2 linked regions of the Arabidopsis thaliana genome follow. The protein of the gene in region 2 binds, or shares a complex with, the protein of the main gene of each other region. Each region holds a gene or a part of one and is shown on either strand. Other genes may lie near its edges. The genes, in order: AT3G57060 and SMC3.

The links.
Region 1: SMC3 (region 2) and AT3G57060 share a complex: the UniProt entries of both Arabidopsis thaliana proteins name them as parts of the condensin complex.

The regions. Positions count from the first base shown.
Region 1 is NC_003074.8:21,113,477-21,126,648, forward strand, and holds AT3G57060 (binding protein), read right to left. Parts: upstream 7,638-13,172; 5' UTR 7,576-7,637; coding exon 7,440-7,575; intron 7,132-7,439; coding exon 6,809-7,131; intron 6,723-6,808; coding exon 6,562-6,722; intron 6,473-6,561; coding exon 5,293-6,472; intron 5,180-5,292; coding exon 4,988-5,179; intron 4,796-4,987; coding exon 4,142-4,795; intron 4,044-4,141; coding exon 3,867-4,043; intron 3,743-3,866; coding exon 3,675-3,742; intron 3,585-3,674; coding exon 3,362-3,584; intron 3,278-3,361; coding exon 3,178-3,277; intron 3,086-3,177; coding exon 2,970-3,085; intron 2,886-2,969; coding exon 2,828-2,885; intron 2,741-2,827; coding exon 2,589-2,740; intron 2,508-2,588; coding exon 2,303-2,507; intron 2,190-2,302; coding exon 1,785-2,189; intron 1,700-1,784; coding exon 1,602-1,699; 3' UTR 1,391-1,601; downstream 1-1,390. Other genes in the region: CBL (cystathionine beta-lyase), read right to left, coding at 1-19, 125-216, 317-387, 468-583, 686-854, 983-1,045; AT3G57062 (uncharacterized protein), read left to right, coding at 7,967-8,113; AT3G57070 (Glutaredoxin family protein), read left to right, coding at 10,698-11,951; AT3G57072 (uncharacterized protein), read right to left, coding at 12,223-12,360; NRPE5 (Eukaryotic rpb5 RNA polymerase subunit family protein), read left to right, coding at 12,402-12,653. UniProt on the Arabidopsis thaliana protein: Essential protein. Regulatory subunit of the condensin complex, a complex required for conversion of interphase chromatin into mitotic-like condense chromosomes.
Region 2 is NC_003076.8:19,696,908-19,707,033, reverse strand, and holds the start of SMC3 (structural maintenance of chromosome 3), read right to left. Parts: upstream 5,307-10,126; 5' UTR 5,127-5,306; coding exon 4,983-5,126; intron 4,728-4,982; coding exon 4,638-4,727; intron 4,562-4,637; coding exon 4,460-4,561; intron 4,376-4,459; coding exon 4,199-4,375; intron 4,125-4,198; coding exon 3,994-4,124; intron 3,895-3,993; coding exon 3,816-3,894; intron 3,743-3,815; coding exon 3,585-3,742; intron 3,501-3,584; coding exon 3,425-3,500; intron 3,301-3,424; coding exon 3,172-3,300; intron 3,103-3,171; coding exon 2,958-3,102; intron 2,764-2,957; coding exon 2,633-2,763; intron 2,379-2,632; coding exon 2,226-2,378; intron 2,149-2,225; coding exon 1,959-2,148; intron 1,745-1,958; coding exon 1,611-1,744; intron 1,281-1,610; coding exon 1,122-1,280; intron 939-1,121; coding exon 630-938; intron 531-629; coding exon 354-530; intron 138-353; coding exon 54-137; intron 1-53. Other genes in the region: AT5G48595 (Defensin-like (DEFL) family protein), read right to left, coding at 6,012-6,259, 6,346-6,394; AT5G48590 (phosphoserine aminotransferase, putative (DUF760)), read right to left, coding at 7,263-7,953, 8,215-8,558; FKBP15-2 (FK506- and rapamycin-binding protein 15 kD-2), read left to right, coding at 9,730-9,796, 9,892-9,941. UniProt on the Arabidopsis thaliana protein: Central component of the condensin complex, a complex required for conversion of interphase chromatin into mitotic-like condense chromosomes.

The sequences.
Region 1 (13,172 bases), on a different chromosome or scaffold from region 2:
CCAGCAACAATTTCTTCGCCTATAGAAACAAAATCAAATGTACTACAATGAAACCAAGTCTATGCTACCGATCTAATACACTGAAAGACATTACAATCCAGGAGAAGTCAGTATCGGAAATTACCATTTTTGATAAGATGTGTAACAGCACTAAGAGCAGCCATTCCGCTAGTAAAGCAAAATGCTCTATCTGCCTTGTCAAGCTTCGCAAGGAGGCTAACAAACGAATACAACTTCTATAAGTAATGTTGAACAAACACACATACAAATATAGCTAAATAACCTAGGAATCGAGAAGATGCTAAGAAACAATTACCTTTCCAATGCATCCCGTGTAGGATTGCCACTTCTTGTATAATCATAAGGTCCATTTTCAATAGCAGAAGGCTACAATAAGCAAAGAAACTAGTATCAAGTGACAAAATCTTCTCGTAGTAAACGAAGTTGTTCGCTTTATGGCTGAATACCTGCTTAAAAGTAGCAGTTTGGTAAAGCGGAGTGCTCATTGCATCAAAGGGATCAAATTTATTATCCAAGTTCACCAATAATGTAGAGACGCTAGCTTCTTCTTTGATATTCATAGCTGCAAAAACATTGAAACACCATCAATCAATAAAAAAGACGCTAACTTTATGATTATCATCAATATGATCCAATAAAAAGAAGTTATTTAAGCTTAACGAACTATTTAAGCTATCAGTGGTATTGTTAACGGTAGAATGAGTTTGACCATCGACACTTTTCTCCATCACGCAATTCAGCTTGAAAGAGTTCCGATTTGAGATCTGCTTCTTCTCCCAAGTTGGAACCTTGGAAATGGAAACACTGGTCGGAGAGTTCTTACTGATCAAACCCTTCAGAGAAACACCCAGAGACGAAAATGATTAGATATCACTTAAATTGGTAGAGCCAGACCAAAAGCAAAAGAAAAGGGATTAACTTTATCTGAGGTCGATAAATTATATTAAAATAAAAAGCTTACTCGGTCGGAGAGATCAGCGAAGGAAGGTACGAAGGAGGAGTGAAGTGACAGAGAAGATGTCATTTTGGTAGATGAAAGAGAACTAAATTGCTTTTTCTCCGGCGTCGATTTCTCGTCTGAGATATTAGCCGACGAGATAATAACGGCGACGGAGACAGTTCTCGTGCTCAAGTGAGAGTAGAGACGACTGAAGAGAAACCGAAGGTCTCTCGGCTTTAAGTCTCGGTTTTGGTTTCTTTCGGTTTATTTAGATACGATAAGACAAAACCGAAATAAATCTGGTCTGGTTATAACACGTGGAGGAAAGTAGGTGTACACCTACTCTTAGTCTTAACTCTTAAGTACCCATGAGGCCACTAATATATTCGTCAGTGAAACTGACAAGAAAAAGGAAATTTGATACAAAACTAATTCAGATCTTATATATTTTGGCTACAAATTGTCATAACTAAACCGGCTAGGACATTAGACATAAATATTGTCGATTCTTCAATATCTAAGCATAATAGGGAGAAACAAAAGCGGTGACCAAAACAGACGTAAATTATAAGATAGCTCTCGAGATGTTGAGCAACTTGAACAGACATTCGCTCTCTCTCTGCATCTACACAATGGTTCTTTAACTTCTACTTCCTGACCTCAGGTTTCTCCTGATGCTGCTCGATGACTCTGTACTCTTGCTTTCTGATTCGCCTTCTTCCCCTGAAAACCTCACAACTTTACTTAACGGTATATAACAATTTCTAAAATGTAGCTTAAGTTGTGTGAGATTTTTGAAATACATATTGAAGTTTTCACATACCGCCACTAGTCTTTTGGTTTAAGGAACGAGGATTGGTCGTACCACATTGTGCAGAATCTGGCTCTTCCTCCGAGTCAGATGGCTCTTCCTCTGAGTCAGATTGCTCTTCCTCGGACTCAGTTTCAATCAAATTATCGCCACTAGTCTTTCGGTTTAAGGAACGAGGATTGGTCGTACCACATTGTGCAGAATCTGGCTCCGAGTCAGATTGCTCTTCCTCGGGCTCAGTTTCAATCAAATTATCGCCACTAGTCTTTTGGTTTAAATAACGAGGAATGGCCGTACCACATTGTGCAGAATCTGGCTCTTCCTCCGAGTCAGATGGCTCTTCCTCTGACTCAGTTTCAACTAAATTATCGCCTGATTCTTCCATTGATGGATCCACAATTTCACTATCTGAAACACCTGAGAATACAAAAAACAGTCCATTTTGAAAAGCTTGCCGTTAACTGGCATTTGACTATCGTAAGTCTGGTACAGTGAACTTTGCTTTAGCCAAGAGTCAAAAAATTACTAACCTTCACCTTCATCATATTCTTCTACAGGTTCTTCTTTCACTTTGCTGAGGACAGCAAGGGATTCCATGGTCTTGGTTTTCTCTCTATGAACCTCGGCATTTCTTGCGGTTTCTTCTTGTTCTTTCTTCTCCATGTGGAACTTGTTGATCTTCTCTTCAAACTCTTCGATACACGCTTTCAGTTCTGGCTTCGCAAACTTCTTTCCCTGTTCAGATTCACAACCAGATGTCAAACTAACATATAGCATTAAAAATGACTAGGGTGACGAAAACCAGAGAAACCAGACCTTATTGATTATGCTTCTAAAGTTCTCGGTCACCAAATCCTCTGCTAAAGCGTGCTCGTAAGACTTGAATGACTCAATAAGCTTTTTGATTCCCTTTTCTGTGAATGTCAGCAGCGAAAGAGAATACGAAATGTATTCCCACTGTTTTCCATCTGCAAGTTTAGGTGTAGATGTCAAAGGGATATACTTCTTATTAAACCCAAAACAGGTGTAAGGATATATCATCAATACAAGCATACCTGTGACTCCGCTAAACCTATTGCAAAGCTTCTCAACTAGAGCCTCCATCTGTTTGTCCTGGAGATTGATGAGGATGCAGATGAGTGATTAGATAAGAATAAATACAGGTCATACTAACTTCAATATTGAAAAGCTGTATACCTTTTTGATGGAGCCGATCAAGAATTGCATGACATTACAGAATGACTCCCTCTCTAAATTCCGGTTGGATAACTGCCCAAGTATATCAGGAAGTAGATTGTATATGGGATTCGATCCTGGATTTGTTTGGCAGAAAATAAACTTAAGTGTTAAATTTGATTCAAAGGTGGAAGTTGCTATGTCATGTAAAGCAGCTATTGCAACTGACCTTTCTTAGACAGTTCATGGAAAAATAGTTTTGCGAGACTAGAGATCCTCTCCACATCATCTTCTATACATATAGCCATTTCATATATATAACCTTTCACCTGAAATCAGGATTCACAAAATGAAACCTCCAACTATAATTGCAGATATTTAAAGAGAGCAAGGAGAGAGGTAAGGAGTCCAACCTTCATCATATCATTCAATATAAGATGTGAGAGGACCAGGACAGCATTTTTCCTGACAGAAACTGAAGCATCCCGTAACCTGGCATACATATTTTCTGTCCAAGGTTCTAAAAGATTTGGAAAACGAACAGCCAAGTCTCCAAGGGAAAGGGTGCAATTCGATCGTACAACTTCAGACGGTGCATTTTCAACAACTGTGAAGAGAAGCTGAAGATTGGATTCGCTGGCATACATTGAGTTTAATGCATCAATTTAACTATAAATTCAGTTTTGTAAAGGATAAATAGACTATATGATAATGATTTAATCTCACCAGAAACTTGCATCAATAATCATAAACCTGCATAATGCAAGCATTGCGGAAGCTTGTAGTTCAGGATGCTGTACGAATGAAAAGACAAGTTTCATTTTATCATGTATATCCAAAATAAATGTGAGAGCAAAAGAAGGCTTTTAACTTCATCACACGCCATGAAACAGAATGAATGAATAGAAAACTAACTACCTTTTGCAGCAGAGAAAAATTTCTGCAAAGCTTAGAGAGAAAAGTTGCACACTCCCCAATCAGATTCTTCTCAACAGAACCCCCAGAAACAATTTCCCTCTCTGCTCTTTCAGCGAGTGTATCAAGCAGTGCATCATCAGAGGCAGCAAGTCCTAGCTCAGCATTTATGCCATTGTTCTACAAAACAAAGAAAACTTTGCATTATTCAGCAAAAATAACCCTTTAGGGTTGTAAAATTTGTGCCACCAGCTGCGCTCTACGAAATTGGTCTGTACCTCTTGGGTGGCCTCAAGGTTTTCTTCTGTGTTCTGACTTTCAGCAGCCGGTTTGTCCTTTTTAGTCTTCTGTCTCCGGATCTTCTGGATACAGGATTCTATATACACCAACTGGTTCATGGCAATGTGACTGACAGCGAACAAAAATCTACTGAGTTTAGCCACTTGAACTGGAGTCAAAATATCAACTTTATTATTTTCGGTATCAGTCTGTGCTTCCTCTTGTTCAACTACGTCAAACACAGTGCTCAGGGACTTTTTAATAATAGTAGAAGCCAATGTTTCTGGAGTTGGGTGGATCATGTATATGGCACTTATGGCTTTATCAGCAGTTGCATAATATATATTTTCTGGAAGCCAGTTCCCAGTGATCAAGCTTTCAAGAATACCAAACAATCGGCTGCCACTGCTGAGCAATAACTTTTTCCTATCTTCCTCGGAGAACCGCTGAATAACAGTACATGCAGTTCTGGCAAGTAGAGGTTCCACTTTTGCCCAACGGCCAAACCCAATATCAATAATATCCTGTATGTGTGATCCAAGAATCCTAGGGGACGACTTTGCAGCCATGCAAAGGATAGATAGAGCCCCACGACTTTGCTCAGCAGTTGTCCCATTGATGTTAAAGCAAAAGAAGTCCCATAGAGCTGATGTCTACAAACAGAAAAATGATAGAAGCACTTATTAGCCTCTAGCAGGTGAAAATCCTTTTCGCTCGAGAAATTTAATCAATAATCAAACGCTCATTATTTTTAGTTGTTCTTGACTGTGCATAAGCAGACTACACGTATCAAGTGACCATAATTCATAGCATACTCATACGCTGGAGTCACAGAAGGAACCTACCGTGCTGCTAGATATTTCACCTTTTGACACTAAAGCATTAACAATAAACTCTAGTGCTGCCTGATCTCCTATATTCGAATCTATGGCAAGGTTCAACAGCTGTTTCGCCGTGTCAACTGGATTTTTCCTTATGTAGATTGAGATGAAGGCATTCTCTACTGCCTCATAGATAGACTTATCCTGAGAAAAGGCCTGCAAAGACAACAATAAACAAGGTTTTTAGCACAATGTATTAAGAGGATGCTAACTGAAAAATGTCAGAAGAATGTATTCTTATGAGTTTGATACATGATAAGCGACCATACCAGAGGCAGAATTTTACGGAGACAAGCTTCTGCACCGTCAATTTGGAACTGCTTACACCTCATCAGCAAAAGAATAGCATTCTCAACATCAGTGGCAGAAGATGAAGCCATTAATTGAACGAGGATTGGCATACTGGCTGACATGCACTTCGAGAACCTCAATCCAGCCTCTAGGGAAGCAATCAAAGCCTTGGTTTGCTCAACGTTACCAATATCTGGAACAGAAACATCCTTCTCACTGATTTCTTCTCCATTCTCTGGCTGACAGCTATCAGATAGACTATCTTGATGAATCTTAGTTGTAGTTTCAAGATGCAAGTCATCGATTTCACCATCTCCATTACAGGATTCACCATCTGAAGTTGACTCTTTTGATGCATGCTCAGTAGGTTCAAGTTCGTTCAGTTTTCTTTTATACTGCTCCAGGGTTGCTTCAAATGAAGCTATCCGCAGCTGTGGACCAAAGGGGTTATGTTGCAACATCATGATCAGTAAATTCAATGCGGATTTTCTAACAATTGCACTCTTATCTTCCAGTCTTCCAGCAGATAGTGATGCAACTTCATTCCATAGGCCAATTGAAACAGAATGCTCTTCACAGAGTTCAGCCCACACTTGAAGAACACGGCTCCTTGTATAGGCTGAAACATCTCTACAGCGTTCGAGCAAAATTTCCAACATAGCTTGCTTAGTTCGCAGACGAAGGGACTTGGAACTCATATCTCCCTCGACATCATTAAATGCTTTTGCAACTAATTTCCCAAGAACACCAACTAGTGCGTTTCTTATCTTGTATGATTCACCACCAAAATGAGGGACCAGAACTCCAACATTTGTCGACATTAATTTTGGCAAACGATCAGCAAGCTCGACCAGGAAACGTCCCACATTATCAGCCCCAGCAGTATCTTTAACGTAGGCCTTTGGGTCAGTCCTCCCAATATCTCTAATGATTGTCACTGCCAACGTACCATCTGAATACTTGCTTTCAGCTCTAGCAACTGCATCAGCAATGTGTACAACAGCAAAATCATACTTGTGTATCAAGTGCATGATTGAGGCACATGACTGCACAATGTAGTGGTATTTTGTAGCAGATGCTCCGATGATTCGGCACAGTGCATCTTTTGTCTCGGCATCTTTTAAGATTGTGGCATTTTCAAAAAGAGTGAACGAGTTTCTACAAGGAAATGATATGAAAATGTTGTGAGAATGTATCTATAGCATGGACTATGAAAGAAACAAGATTCATTAGGTCACGGAAATTACTTGACAATGAAAGACAGGTAGTTTTCGTCTAGGTCTGATGATCCAAAGAGCAAGGATAGGTTGATTTCAAGAGAATTTGCGATCAAATTGAGCATCCTACCCCTCTGAGGTTCCCAGTTCCATGACTGGATGATTTGCTTTTTCCTCCCTCGTGCTGCAACCTGTTCATCCACAACATCACTACCGTAAATTCGACAACAAGAGATGAATTTTATTCTGTATTATCAGCTGGAAAAAGAGAGAACACCTTTGTAGTCTCGACTGAGCTGATGTGTGATTCCTCATTCATAACAACAGTGAGGAGAAAGAAAGTGTATATCTTCAAGGCATTGCGATGTGATGTGATCCTATCAATGATTGGAACATCATCCTCCTGATCTTGGACAGACCGGGATATCGAATCGACATTGGGAAGAAGAACGCTTAGATTGGACCGAAGGCTTTCTACAAGATTACACTTGCAAGATGGAGGAAGACTAAAGAAGCTCCTGACCAAAGAGTAGACACGATCAAATACATCTTGATCCTCGACACAAAAGAGTTCTCTATCAGAAAGGTCAAAGGATACACCTGTTCCACGAGACGAAAGTAAACAAAATGCCTCACATATCAATCACAAGAGTCATAGAAGAAATTTGACTCCAGAAACGCACTAAATGAAATTTCTCTCGACTTAAATTTAATCAATTTCATATTGTTCAGCTTCGCTTGTAGACACGAATTCCCACTAAACCTACCTGACGACTCAGGTGACTAAGGACACTATCAACATACATAATGCAATTTTCCTCCCAAATTGGGATTGCAAAGCAAATCTAAACCCTCTCGCAATTGCATCTCAGATACGCTCATACAGTGGAGAGACAAAGACAATTTACCTTTGACGAATTCTTCCAGATCGGAAGGGCGAAGAGAGGTTACATCGACGGGATTCTGAGCGAACAAACGGTGATTATCCTCCGGATCTTCTTCTAGGGCTCGTAGAATTTGAGGGAATACAAAGGGAGGAGCCATTTTTTCTAGAGAGAGAGAGAGACGTTGCTCAGAGGAGAGAGAGAGAAAGAAGAATCTACCTTTTGGGGAATTTCAATTTCAAAATGAAATCGAAAAAGGCAACGGAGCGGGAATCCATGGATCATCCTATCGGGTCGGGTTCCGGATACAAAACCGGGTCGGATCCTAATTATTTTATCTTCATGTGGGCCCTCGAATTTAATTATGAGTCTCCGTCGGCTGGTGAATAAATACGACGAAGACGTGGCCGAATCTAAATGGTTGGAAGATCCTTGAACCTACCGAATCATCTTTGATTTTTTTTTCCCCAAGCTTTTGGCCACTCTAATGGCTTCGCCGGCCAATCATTTGATCTGACGAAAGAGAGAGAAAGAAGCAGAAAAGCTTTGAGATGGCGATGCCGCTGGGCATGGCGATGTATCTGATGAGAATGGTTTGGTTTTCTCTGAGTGGTTGGGTTTTCACTTGCGTGGCTATCGCTGATGAGATCGCTGGTTCTCTGAGAAACGGAGATATTGGTCCTTTCCACGTCGGATGATTGAATTCGAGATCCTTAGCTCTCCTTCTGTGCGTATATGTTCTTCTCTTCCCCAAATTTTACGTTTTTTTTTGTTTTGCTCTGTTGTTTTAGATTAGAGTCGCTTCAAATTTCCCTACAAACTCTGAAATTGATAATAGTTTGAGTTTATAGAGGATAAAGATAGATCATTTTGGTCGAAAAGGGAACAATTTTTGGTGGAAGTGATTGATATATGTCTCAGTCACTCAGTGTGTGTATGTGTAACTAAAGTTCGGCTTCGTATATGAAACTATACATATCTTATGGATTCGCATGGATGTTGTTATGTTAATGATGCTTGTTAATGGCCCATGAACAAAAATCGAGATTTCTCAACTCCAATTTGGTTGTATTTGTTCTGATCAGCAACTCTGGGATGCATATAATGCTCGTTTCCTTTTGCTCAGCTGCTTGAGTTTATCTCTCATAGTAGCTGGTTTTTGTGTCGATACAAGTATCCTCAGGATCATTCACATGCTCAGATAATTTATCTCCTCTCTACATAAGTACATCAGCATTGATGATATGATCCATATGCTTAAGTGATTGTCTGGAAAACAGTTCATAGGTGATAATACCTTCTTAGCTTCAGTACCAAAACATTCCTGGAAGCATGTTTTATAATCCTGAAGATTACCTTTTGTTTTAGTTTTTCTCCTTAGCTTACTAGTCATTGTTTTGCATTCAGGCCTTTCTGAATTCAGGAAGGGCTTTTACAGCAGTAAATGCGCAGAGTACACAAGTAAGGTTCTATCATATCTTCTGTTGGTACGCTGGCAAGGTTCTTAACTATGAAACATTTTGACAGACAGAGAGAGGTAGAGAGAGAGCAGAGCAGCAGTATATGTGTATAGTATATAGTTTGTAGAATTCCAGAACATATGTGACCTCATACTTGTGAAAAAATGTTGCTGAAACAATTGAGTTTCTATCAATTTCAAGAAATCTTTTTTAGCCTCTTCTGCTTGGAAGATCACACAAGAGAAAATGATTTTTCCCTTTGAATTTACTTTGTATATATTTAGCTCATTGGCGTCAAAGAAATCTATTACATTCAAATATTCAATGAAGAACCAAACATTTTTATCTGTCAAGATCCACCTCTAAAACTATTGAGCTTTCCTCTTATATTAGCTTTTTGTCTTATGCATATCTTCCTTATATCATATTTAGTCTTTGTAGTGTTAGGTTCTGAATTTCGAATCTTTCCTCTTCCCTTATTGAAAAGAGTAAAAGACAAAGAACAAAGTACCAAAAATAATAAAGAATCTTCAAGGAGTTTTTGCCTTGTGCAATTCAACTTCTTCCCATGTTGTTTATGTGTAGTCCAATTAGTGTTATTTTTAATTAAGATGTGGTCCAATTAGCTGTTCTTTTTCTAAACCGTATAACATAATAATACGTGATTCAAATACATTAACATAATGCAAAAATGTAACAGCAAATTCATTAAAAACAAAAAATGTAACAGCAAAGCACCATACTTTCTCTCGTGGGGATTAGAATATACAGCTTTCATTACAAAGACTAGTCAACTAAATCGTACCAGCTAACTGCAAAACATCATCTTAGGAAATAGAAAAAGGTATGTGTAGATCAATCAAAATGAATAAAATGTTTGATTATGAATAAAAATGAATAAGGAAGAGTTCAATGAGATGATGATATTAAATTATGGTAGAAGAAAAGTTAATAACAGGTCAGATATAGAAACTTTCCGTAAAGTCAAGGATTTAAATTATTCACGTGAATACTCTGTCTAGGTCCTATCTTGAAATTTATCATTCAAACCTTTAATATTATCTATATGTTTTTACTTTAAAATTAAATTTTAATATATGTAGATATAAAAATTAATATTTTTAATTTATATATTCTTAATATTTATATCTAGATAGAGTCATATCAAAACATTTTGTTTGAATGCAAATTTCAAAAGATAAATTTTGGAATAAACATTTTCAAAGACGTAAATTAAAAAAGCAATTTAGAAATAAAGCATTGCAAAAATAAATTCAACTAAAATTTAGATGTAGATGTATATTGTGAACCCCCAAAATTAATTATAAAATCTTTTGGAACTGACATGTCAATATTTGTTTGATTGATCAACCTTTTTTCTCCTCCAATCTTCGTTTAGTTCTAATAAAAATATCATAAAGAATTAAAGATTGCAGTTATGAAGATAATGACATTTTTCTTTAATATTTTATTTTTCTTCATTATTTTAAAAACGTTTGGCTCAATTTATAGACAGTGAAGGAAAGTTCTTGGAATTTGGTTCTTCTTCTATACATAAGCTTTGGTTACACAATCAAAATCAAATCGAGAACTGTTGTTGTGTCCGAAAATCAACATCAACATCGTTTCTTTCTTCTGCCATTAAATTTCACCATCTTCCACCTTCAACTGCCCTAGACAGCTATTCTCCACCTTTCTCTTTTCTCTCTCTGTTCTCTATCATTCCCAGAGATAACCAAACAATCTCAGAAGAAACCAGAAAGAGCAAAGAAACTAAAAACTATTATTCATTAAAGTCAGTGTTTTTAAATTCGATTTCGTAATGGGTTCTTCTGCTTCAAAGACCGCTTCTTCCGTTTCTTCTGCTTCTTCCTCATCTGCGTTTTCTCCACCGCCGACCAAATTCAGCTCCGATTCATCTTCACCGGCGGTGCAGAGAGCTTTTTCGTTTCCGACGCCGTTGGTTCACCATCCTCCGGCGAGAAAAGGCGACTCTCATCACCTTGTTTCCCTTACATCTACATCGTACGGTTCTCTTCTCCTCCTTGATCTCGATGGATCCAAAAACTCCTCTTCCGACCAACAAACGCTGCCTCGTATCTCAATCTCCGGGAAGAACACACCAGATCCGGTCTCTCCTGATTCAGTCATAAACACTTGGGAGCTTATGGATGGCTTGGACGATGAATTCGAATTCGAAATTCCCAAACCGGGTAAGCGTCTAAATTCGGATTTTTGCTCTAAACCCGACCCGAATCGGAATGTGAGTTTAAATGGGTCTTCGTTGAAATTGGATGAATCTTACGAGATTGTGAGAATCGAAGAAGACGATGGAGATTGGGTTCCTTTGACTTATAAACCTAAGCAACCTTTGTGGAAGCATTTGTCTGAAGAATCATTTCTCTCTGATTTAGATCCCAGCATTGTCTCATCCTACAAGAAAGCTTTGTCTTCTAAGCTATTAAGCAATCATAGTAATACTAGAAACCCTCATAGACCCACAAAGTCTCTCTCTTGTAGCCCATCATCAAATCCATCCATCTTAATAAGCGAAGAACCAAAATCTGTATCCTCTAGTCAATTGATTTCATCACCAGCCAAACCGAGATTACCAGGAACAGAAGACAAGATTGTACTCTACTTCACAACCCTCAGAGGAATTCGAAAGACATACGAGGATTGTTGTTGCGTTAGAGCGATATTGAGAGGAGTTCAAGTGTCCGTAGACGAACGTGACATCTCTATGGATTCCAAATACAGGAAAGAGCTTCAAAGCGTGCTTGGCGCCGCAGAGAAACCGGTTTGTTTGCCTCAGGTGTTTATCAGAGGAACTCACATTGGTGGCGTGGAGGAGATTATGCAGCTAAATGATGGTGGTGAATTAGCAGAGATGTTGAAAGATTTCCCTGCTTGTGAACGCTTGGGGACATGCCGGAGCTGTGGTGATGCAAGGTTTGTGCCTTGTACTAACTGTGATGGTAGCACCAAAGTGTTTGAAGAACAAGATGAACGGTTTAAGCGGTGTCCTAAATGCAATGAGAATGGATTGGTGCGTTGTCGTGTGTGTTGTCTCTAAGTGATCAGTTTGATCAAAAGATGTGTGTGAGAAAGGGGATATAGATTGATTGACTAAACATGGTATTTGGTTAGTAATGTATATTCAAATAAGTAAGTTGGCTCAAGCCTTTTATTATTTACTCTTATGAGTTGTGTTCTTTTGTTCCATTTACGCTCTTGACCTTTTGAACTAAATGATTCTTACTATATGAAGTACATCAAATGGTAGATGATGATTGATAATTCGCATAATAGCCGAATGATTTGCTTTGTTTGCAAGGTATTTTTTATCAATGAAAAATATGTGCAACATTACCACAAATGTAGTTTGATTGATTGATGTCACCTGCTCGCTCACCTATATTAGCTTTCTTCCTTCTGTTCTTAAATCCTAAAACGACAACGTTTAGTCTCCCTTTAAATCCCATCACTGGACTCGACGACTTTTGCTCAGATAAGGGAGACAAAAATGGAAGTGAAAGGGAAAGAGACAGCTTCGGTTCTGTGTCTGAGCAAATACGTGGATCTATCGAGTGAAGAGAGTCATAGATACTATCTTGCGCGGCGAAATGGCTTGCAGATGCTCCGAGACAGAGGCTACGAAGTCTCCGACGAAGATATCAATCTCTCCCTTCACGATTTTCGAACTGTTTACGGTGAACGTCCCGATGTTGATCGTCTTCGCATCTCCGCTCTGCATCGCTCCGATTCTACCAAAAAGGTATATCGAAGTATTTTCGTATTCGTTGTGATTTTTCGATTTCTAGCTGTTTTTTTGTCTTTGCATGTTGTGGGGTTTACTGTTTGGCAGTGAAGAAGATGATGGAATATGAAATTTGTGACTCTTTTAAATTTCTTATCTTCTAATTGAAGTTTGAATTGCTACTTTTGTGGATTCAGATGACTAAAGTTTACTACTTTATTGTCCTTATCAAGTAGCATACCTCATTTGTTTGTCCTCTGAATTTTTGTAATGTGAAATGTTTCTGGTAACAACTAGCAAAGTGATTCTTAGATCTCTTCCTATGGCTATTGAACATTCGGACAATTCATTGAGTGATCTCTTCAATCTTTAGAGTATGGTCAATGTCAAATGTGCGAGTTCTGATGATAGCTACAAGTTTCCATGTTTAATTCTAGAATGAGATTGAACTGCAAAAGAACGGTTAAGTTGGATATTTGTTGAAAATCTTACCCCTTTTCTTGTTGGTTGTTTGGTTCATGTTACCTCTTTTTGTAT
Region 2 (10,126 bases):
CACACTTAACTGTGAGTTCACTAACAGCATGCTAAGAACAAAAGCAAACTTACAGTCTGAATCTTCTCAACCTTTGCCTTTTGTCCTTTTAATTTTTCACCACCAGCGTTCTCTATGTTGGTTTGCAGCTCCAAAGCCTATAACAAAAAACCTCGTCAGTTTAAAATGCACAAGTTCTATATTACAGGGTATTAAACAAGGAACAACTCCATAGATTTTGCGTTTACTGATCTAAGCTCCCAGGGAAAGATAAGTCAAAAATTTCATAAGCATGGCTGGTTAGACCAAAAACATATTGGAAGAAAAGGGATGTGCCACATTAAAAAAAAAAAAGAATTACTGATGTTACGCACTTTATCCTTCAGCTGTTTAGAACCCTTCTCAAGGTTTTCAATCTCTTTTTCTTCTTTAGAGATTATTTTCTTGAGCTCTTTAAGCCTGTCAATCTCATCTGTCTTTGGTTGAGATGCGGCTTCCAGGGAAGCTAGTTGTTTTTCCAGATAATTATGCTCTGAATTGAGACTTTCAATCTAAATATGAAAGAAAGAAACAATTGATTACATTTAGGGCAACTTGATTACATATCTCAAACGGGAGGGTTATACTCATAAATTCACGGAAGACAGTACCTCTCTTTGGCTTTTCGCCAGTTCCATCTCTAGGCCAGAGACTTCGTTTTCTGCAGCTCGATACTGTCTCACAGCATTTCCAACCTTTTCACGGATGTTGTTTAACATGTCAACAATTTTGGAGAGCTCATTTTCTGCATTAGCAACAGCTTCACCAGACACACCAGTGGCTCGAATAGAGGTTCCCATTCTTCCACCACGTGCCTTGCCTCCCCCTCCACTCATGGTACCAGATTTTTCAAAGAGAGCGCCATCAAGAGCCACGACTCTTCGAAATTCTCTGTTCCCACCATATGCAATACGTGTTGCCTAATAAGCAAGAAAATTGTATCTATTAGGCTCAGCACTGAGTCCAAAGAAACTTTGTATTTTAGGAGGTATTACCCACTTGGGTTTCACTAGATTAGCCGAGCTTAGCTCAATTCATAATTTACTAATGGCAGTAAATAAATTATGTAGCCGAGTCAGTCTTGATGAGCAAACATAATATACCTGATCAAGATCCTTTGCCACAACAGTGTTTCCCAAGGCTGCATAGAATGCAAGTTTCATCCTTTCATCCTTAACTCTGACAAGATCAAAGAGGCGTGGTACATCCTCTGGTGTTTTCACTTTCTCCTTCAGTTTATGTATATGATCTGTTTGTTTTTCCTGCAAAAAAGAATATTGTTGAAGGGTTATTCACTCTTTATTTGCACGAGCAATTACTAGAACCTACTTGGCGAATGAATGTGAAGCTTCAGATTCAGTCCCCTTGAAGATTTACTAAGACCGCTGCCTATTGCATTTCATTTGCTGAATCAAAATCCACCATAACACGCTCCTAACTTCCTAATTAGATATAATAGTTTACTAAGACCAACTCAGGAATCACAATTTTGAGGATCCCTGTATAACGATTCTTCTGTTTAAGTTGGCATTTTTAATAAAATGGCCAGGCAGGTAATTCAAAGCATATAAACAGAAAGTGGTATGCAATACCAATATCATAAATGTTGCAAAGCCAAGATTTCCCTTCCGCAGCAGCTCAACACATGCTTGTGCTGAAGAAGTTGTTTCAACAACAATGTAATCAAGGCCGGCGCACGCAGTTGATATGGCGACATCGTATTTTGCTGCATAGGACAGCCATGTCAGTGATTGTTAGTTTCGCTGTATTTCTTTTAAAATCATTTAGACAAGCAACTGGGGATTTACTTCTAAAATTCATTTATCATTGAAAATATTGTCAATCAAAATTTCACACCTCATACTACAAGGAGAAAATAACAGTCTGCAATATTCAAGGTCAGAGCAATGTTATAGTAGACAATAGACCAATATACTCACCATCAATGGCACCTAAGTCCCCCATCCTTCCATATATTCCTTCAATTTGATTGTTCTCCTTCGCTCTTAAAACTGCCTTCAAAACCTCATTCTGACTCTTCTCAGAATTCATTGCTGATTTGAGCTCAGCAACTTTTTCTCTGGCTGCCTGTTCTTGTGGAACGAGTGTTTCTTGTTCTTTAAGTGATTCCTGCAGAAGTTAAGATGCATACTCTCAGTTTCACCATCTAAGCTGCACAGATTACAGTCATATCTTAATAAAAGTACCTCTTCCACTTTCCGAGCTTCGATTGCTTCCTGTTTCTTCTTCTTTATATCAGCTTTCCAAGAGGTAGTTGCTGCAGCTTTTTCTTTTTTTCTCGTTGATATATCAGAGAGCTGTTTCTGAGCATCTGTGAAGGCTTTCAGAGCAGCTTCATGCTAGAATAACAAAGAGGTAATGTTCAAACAGAAACAAAAAAATTAGTCGTCCAACAGTATTTTGGATTATTCAGCGCGAAAGCAGCTCCAGGAAGCATATAAAGATTTGACTATGGCAAACGAATTCTTTAAAGAAGCAGTGGGATAAGCTAATTAAAAACCTCTCTAGAAATTCTTTTGAAGACGAGCCAAGTTATTTTGACAAGCAAAAGTTCTTGACTCCAAGCAAATCGTTATAACTATATGAGATGTACCTTCTTGCTCAAGAGTTCACTTTCGGATGATGCAACATCAAGCTTTCCCCTGTGCACAATTAGATCTTTTTCCCAAGGTTCTAATTCAGCACGAATTTTTGTAAGCTCAGACCGGTAACCTTCAGTTTCAACTGTAACAAAATTGACAGAAATTATTAACTGAACAAGCTTACTCTTGAGCAAGAAGCTAATCGTTATAGATGGGTACTAGCATGTTTAAGAAGTTGCCAATTCCAAGTACTTTTCACTGTGATGTTGTTAAAGAAGCTGCCAGGGTAACAAGGACATCATTATTTGGGGACTAATATCCTAAAGCATAACACACCTTTAGCTATCGCTTTGATTTCCTCCAATTTCTTCTCCTCATCTAGCAAGACCTTCTGAAGCTTTGGTATGTTTTCCTGAAGTTTCGGTATTAGATTGCTTGAGTCCTCAGACTCCTTTGTCATATCACCGATTTTGGATGAATCCTGCATAAGAACACAGGTAAGGTATATGCACGCCATAAAAAAGTCAACCATCCTTCCAAAACTATTAACCTTCTCAAGTTTATCCTCGAGTTTCTTGATTTTTTGCTTCACATGCTTCAAGTCCTCCCTATGCTTTACGTCCTGCCTTTCAAACTCTTTGAATTTCTCCTTACAGGCTCTAAGTTCATTATCAAGAACCTAATCATTGCAAAGGAAGATAAGGTGATTCACCATTTGTTGAAAGTTAGGAGAGAGAAAAATGAATTTAGCCTCGTCGGCAATAAGCATGAGAGCAGACACATCTTATTGATTTCAGACATACCTCTTGTCTCTTCTTATGTTTTTCATGCACAGACTCAAATTTTTTTAACTCTTCATTACTCTCATCCATTTTCACTCTGTAACAGAAATGTTACGATATTTGTTACAAATGAGTTTATATAATTTCTTTGATATTTTAAAGAAAAATTAGTAGTGCTTACCGCTCATCTTTTAGACTATTTTCCAAATTCTGCAAGCTGTCTCTCTGTTCAGTAATTTTCGCTACAGTATCTTCATATGCCATTTTTGTAGCCTTTTCTTGCCATTTAAGATGTGATAACTCTTTCAGCATGTAAGTCTCTGCCTCATCCTTCAAACCCTGTTCCAAAAGCACATCAGCAACATATACAACAAAACCGGGTCACATACAAGAAGGAAAAACGTCAACAAACCTCTAAGTTGTCTCTTTCTTTCTCCGCTAATTTCACCATTTGCACAACTCCAGACCGGCTTTCATTGAGGGTTTCAAGCCTTAAATTTCAGAGGCAGTTGCAGTTATATTAATAGCATCCAACAAATCAGGAACCACTTACGTCTAAAAGAAACAGTACAAATGCATAGATTACTCACTGCTTATTTAATTCATCTATCTTCTCCACATATTTATTCGTTCCAATTATATCCTCGAGGTATTCAAGAAAACCTTCATCATGGGGACCTTGTGCTTTCGGCTTCATGAGTGATATTTGTTCTACCTCCCCCTGTCAACGTTCAAGAAACAATATTAGAGGGGGAAACAAGTTAATTCAACAAGCTGTTTCTGTAAAGTGAGAACCTGAAGAATCAAGAAACGGTTGTTGTCAAGATCTACTCCTTTCCCCTTGAGTTTTTTGGTAACTTCAGTGAAATTGCTCGACCTCTCATTGATATAATACTTGGAAGAATTATCTCGGAATGCAACCCGAGTAATCATGAAATCGCTTCCAGGAACAGTTTCGTACAATCCATTTTCCTGAGTTAGTTAAAAATAAACAATTCACATTACTAGAAAGCTTAACCAAAGTCTAATAATAGGTAAGCAGACAACAAGTTTTACCAAATCGATAATCTCTTCAAACTGTACAGAAACTCCAGCACTATCCAAGTTCTGGTGATTAGTTGAGTTGTGAATTAGCTCTGAAACTTTGTTCAGCCGCATCTAACACCAAATAAACATAAGAGTTACTCAAACAAAGTTCAGTGACTAAAAGAAAACACAAGAGTAAATCAAGTACCTGCTTGGCTCGTTTCCCAAATACAAAGAGCATTGCATCTATCACATTGCTCTTTCCACTCCCATTAGGTCCAACCACCGCAGAAAAACTCTGAATTTTCAACAATTCAGTAAATCTAATTTTCCGAATCAATAGATTCAAATGAAAATCTTGTAATTCGCAAGAGCAATTCAAACTAGCCAAAAACAGAAATCCGAAAAATATGCTCAAATTCATCTTCAAATTGAAAAAAAAACTGAAATTCGCAAGGGCAATTCAAAAGCGAGAAATTCGAAAACTATACTGTAATTGACATAGAAGCTCAAATTCGAGAAAACCCAAATCTAATCAGCGTAAAATCCTAACCTTGTGGAAAGGACCGACGCGTTGTTCACCAGCATATGATTTGAAGTTTCTCATGACAAGCTCTTTTATGTAAAGTCTCGGAGTTCCAGATTTCCTCTGCTCAGGCTCAGACTCGCCGCCGCCCATTGGCTCATCTTCCTCCATAAATAACTACTCTCCGGTCAACAAAATCTGATTTCAACAACTTTGGAGGAGGAGGTGCGAATTTTGAAATTGAAAGAGAAATGAAAATCGAGGGAGATTCAAACAAGATTGAAAGAGAATGGGAAGAGGCACGGAGAGAGAAAGGGAAAGTTAATTTTAGGTCACAAATGAAAATTTATGGGGGGAATAAATTGCCGCTAATTCTTTCAAATACCATCAACTTTGTGACGTTATTAGTTACCGACGTAGGAAAAAACCAAAAAAATATTTCATTTTTAATTGGACGTTTAATTGTTACTTTGTTTTTTATTGATAAAAAATACCTCATTTAATTAAACTTTTTATTATAATATTTTGTCTTTAAATTTTTGATAGATTCAATCCTCTAATTTAACGGTTGTTATGCAATTAGTAAACATCGTAAAATTTAGACTAAATAAATATATATATATATATATATATAATTGTTTATAATCAAAACAAACAAGATAGTTTCTAGGTATTTTTTCGGATTGTTTATATTCAAAAAAAGAAATATATGACTTATGATTTTATATTCTATTTCTAAAATTAAATTCTCTTCTAAAAAAGCAAACCATGAGATGATGAGTAAATTTTATGTGATAACCTTCACAAACATTTTATAAATAACACATGTAACACTTAATACATATAGAAGATACAAACAAAAATTACAATTTTGATTTTTTTTTCTTTGTTATAAAGATTCAGTGTATATAGTCGTTTAAATATATGTAAAAATGTATAACTCAATGTATTTTCAATTCTATATTATTAATTTTTATTAAAAATTGAAAGGAGGCTGTAAAGGTAGAAAATCAGTCACAATGATTATTTCTTATATTATTCTAAAAATATAATGTCTTACAAAATGTCTTCCAATGTACAACGACAAATAGAATTTTCACAATGAGCTATATTCTTCTTTTTCTCAATACAATGAAATGCACATTGTTGGCAAAAAATAATTTTCATGTCTTCGGGAGAGTGTCCAATATGTTCGTCTGCTGGATCAATATTAGGGCTTAATGCAGGGCCGGAAAACTGAGATTTTCCTTCTGAAATAGATTTTATCATAATATTTGATGCACGTAAAAATAGTTTTTTGAAAACTTATTAAATTAAAATTTAAACTATAATATATATATATATATATATATATATATATATTTTTAATTGAACAAGAATGAGAACTTACATGATGAAACCAAAACTGCAAGAGTTAAAAAGACAAAAATTGTCTTCATTTTCTTTAAAAATTTTAATATTTTAACAAAAAAATATGGAACGTATTTGCTGATCGTTTTGGTTGTGATGTTTTAAAGTTAAGATAGTAGCATCTTTATATGCGCTTTTACTTATGTTTTTTTTTTGTAGGGTACGGTTTTACTTATGTTACATAGTAGTTAATGTTTTATCAAACATATTTTCTTATAAATGATAGTAAAAAAAACTATAAACTTTAATTTACAATTTTTAATTTAAAATACTTCATCTGTTTCACAAAAAATATCGTTTTAAGATTTTTTTGTTTTGTTTAACAAAGATTGTTGTTTTGTGTTTTCGATGCCGTTTTTAAAATCAAATATCTGTTTTATTTCTGTTTTTTCAATTATTAATTAAAAATAAAAAGTGTATTACAATAGGTAAAAGAAATTTTTAGATGTTTTTTTAATTTGTGTTAAAAATTGTAAAATGATACTTTTTGTGAAACATAAGGAGTAGTAACTAAAAACATAATTACTATATTCAGTATACAGTATACTGCATTTACATATAAATTTTGTCTTTTTATTTTCAATTAACTAACATGCGTCCACAAGTGAAAATTGATGAGAGATGAGAAACTGGTCAAATATGAGAGACACCTAGAATAAATGTGGTTTTTAACTATTTTCTTTTCCTCTGAAGTTGCAATATATTGATGGATATATAAAATGACAAAACCAATCTCTCTATTAAATCATCCATTATACACTATACATATGATTACTCAAACTATAGACAAAAATAATTTCATATAGCCATTGACCCTGATTTAATCTATATATTATATGCAATGTCCACCAAAAAAGATATTCAAGTTTTCTTCTAGCAAACTGGTTCATACATACTTCAAACACTGCTATTTGTTTCTTCCTCTGCATTCTCATTCTCCTTGAGCTTAAACGCGCCATCTACATACTCCTCTGTGTCCCATAGAAACGTACCAAACGCCACAGCCTCAAGAAGCAACCTCTTCAGGCTAGAAAACGATGTCACAATGCTCTCTTTGCTGCTTTCCTCAGGACCAAAAAGAGCTAAACTCTGCTTTTCTATCAGGCTTTTTGCTTCATGTGACCTTGGTTTTGCGCATCTCCGCAATATCTTGGGATCGAACTCAGAAATGTAATGCCTCAGTTGCTTAGTGAAACTTCCATGGTGTTGTGATAATGAGCATTCGAGTTGGTGTCTAAGAGAAGCAGATTTTAAAAAGTATCCATATAAGACCGAAGCTGTGTATACTTTACTGAGACGATTCTTATCTATCTCCGTTGTCGCACAATCGTCAGTCAAACTCGAATTCACTCTTAAACTGATGACTGCGTTACTATGTTCTTTGATGAGTTCAAGAACGTCAAAGCTATGGATTGACTCAAGTTCCCAGTCTTTCGAAGGCGAGATCTCGAGTCTTCCGTTGTAAATGCAACTGGGAAGCTTTGGAACAAGAGGCACTCTTATCTCTGAGAATTTGTACAAGATCAACATGTACATTATGTCTTCAATTGCAATTTGGCAATCACTCTCCTTAAGTTGAGCTATCCTTCTGCAAAACATCGATTCAAATACGTTAATCAGTCTCCATATAAAAGCCAGATCATAGAACATAAAACAGAAACAACCATTCCATAGTGATAACCAACACTAATAAACCATTGATTAGCATAATTTCTGGATTCAACCAAAGATTCAAACATTTCTGGATTCTGCAATTTTACAGATTTTGTTTTCTTCTACAACTCGGCGATTCTACAGTGACAACAAACACTTGCGATTGTGATTAAGAAAAGTGGAGGTTAAAAGGAACCTGTGGAGGGAAGCTTCATCGGAACCATAACTAAGGAACATACGAGATAAGGAAGCTTCCTTATCATCAGCGAGCTGTTTAAGCAAATCAGCGACGGCGAAATGAAAGAGCTGCCGTTTTTTCACCAAGACGGAACTTAGAAACCTTCCCTGAGGCGACCGTGGAACTAGAGGCGCGTCGATGCTCTGTCCCGAAGACGCAGCGGAAACCACCACCAACGAATCGTATCGGAACTTACGACGCGAGGGGAGAAAAACGCAATCGCCGCCGCGGTTTTGTTTAACGAAATTGCGGCGCGATGGGGGAAACGGGAGAGATCCGTGGTGGGAGAGAGAGGTGTCCATTGAAAGAGATAAGCAAAAAACGATTGTGAGATTTTTTGGGATTGTGAAGAGATTACAGAGGAGAAGATTGAAGGAAGAGTCAGTGGGAGCAGATTTGGATAAGGTAAGCAAATGGTAAAAAATCTTTTTTGTTTATTGCTTTGTGTGGTTAATGCTGATTTTGTAAGTTGACTAGTAAAGTAAAGCGACGTTTATTTGGGTAATATAAAAACTCTTCAAGGATCACCTTAAAAACTTTTTCATTTTAATAAATTTCTTTGGATATTAATTGTAACATTAAACTATGAAAGTCTTATTGGTTGTAATTTTCTTTGAATTTAGTCGAAATGGCTTTTGGTTTTTCATCAAGCTAGAATTTTCGAATTCAAAAATATGAAGAATCATTTTCTGAGATATAAATTAAAATTTTAGCTTAGTTAGTTAAAAATTAAAAGATTCTTCATTTGTCCCATAATATTATAAGATATTCTAAATAAAATCACAATGGTTAAAAAACCATAAATATTTTTGTTACTAGATATTTGTACCGCAGTCTATATTATTATTAAAAAAAAAAAAAAATTACACTCATCTCATCTTTTAAATAATATGTGACATACTAGAAAAAAAATTAGAATAGAATATGATAATAATAATAGAGATTAACTGTTTTTTTCTATAACTTTAAATAGTGACATAAATCTTCAAATGAGATTGTGTGAGCTTCTCATCTTTGTTTGCTTCCTCTTCTATATTAAACAAAGATATTAAACCGTGAAATTATAAAATAAAACTTTTATTTGTAAAACATTACAGCAACTTAAACTACAATTAGATGCATGCGAAACATTCTAATATAATTAAGAGATAATGTAGTTGTCTTCTTGCTCGTTAAATAACTCTTTGCATACCGGTGTAACCACCATAGTGAACACTCTTGAGTAGATTTAGAAAGAAATGAAATGAAATGAAAACTCTTACCGAAATTTTCAACTTTGCTAGTAGAAATATAAGACTCTAACGTAGTGAAATGATAAAACTCTTAAACCGAAATTTTCAACTTTGCTTGTAGAGATAAAAGATGGGCTTTTACAAAAATGCAGAACCCCACAGGCCTACCTAGGCCCAATAAGATTACCTCTATACACTGAAGAAAAGGAAAAAACTGAAGAGTGAGAACTGAGAAGCGATTATGGCGAGCAAGATGAGTCTCCGTTACTCTCTCTTTTTGATCTTCTTCTCTCTCATTTCACTCCAAGGTTCTCCATTCATCTTTCTTTCTCATTATTGAATGTGCTAAAATCATGATCTCTTTGTTTCCAATCTAATTCCTTGTAATTGGATCTGTTTATAGGTTTTGCCAAGAAGACCGGAGATGTGTCGGAATTGCAGATCGGTGTCAAGGTAATTTTTATATTTTCCGATCAGGAAATGAACGATCTCGTATACTGTTTCTAGCTATAATATTGGTTTATTCATTGTTGTTTTCTGGAATGTGAATTTGGATCTGGTTTTGATTGTGCTGTGTTCTGTTTTGGTTTGTCTTTTGACCATTTGGTTTAGTTGGAGTCTTTTGGATTTGACAAGTG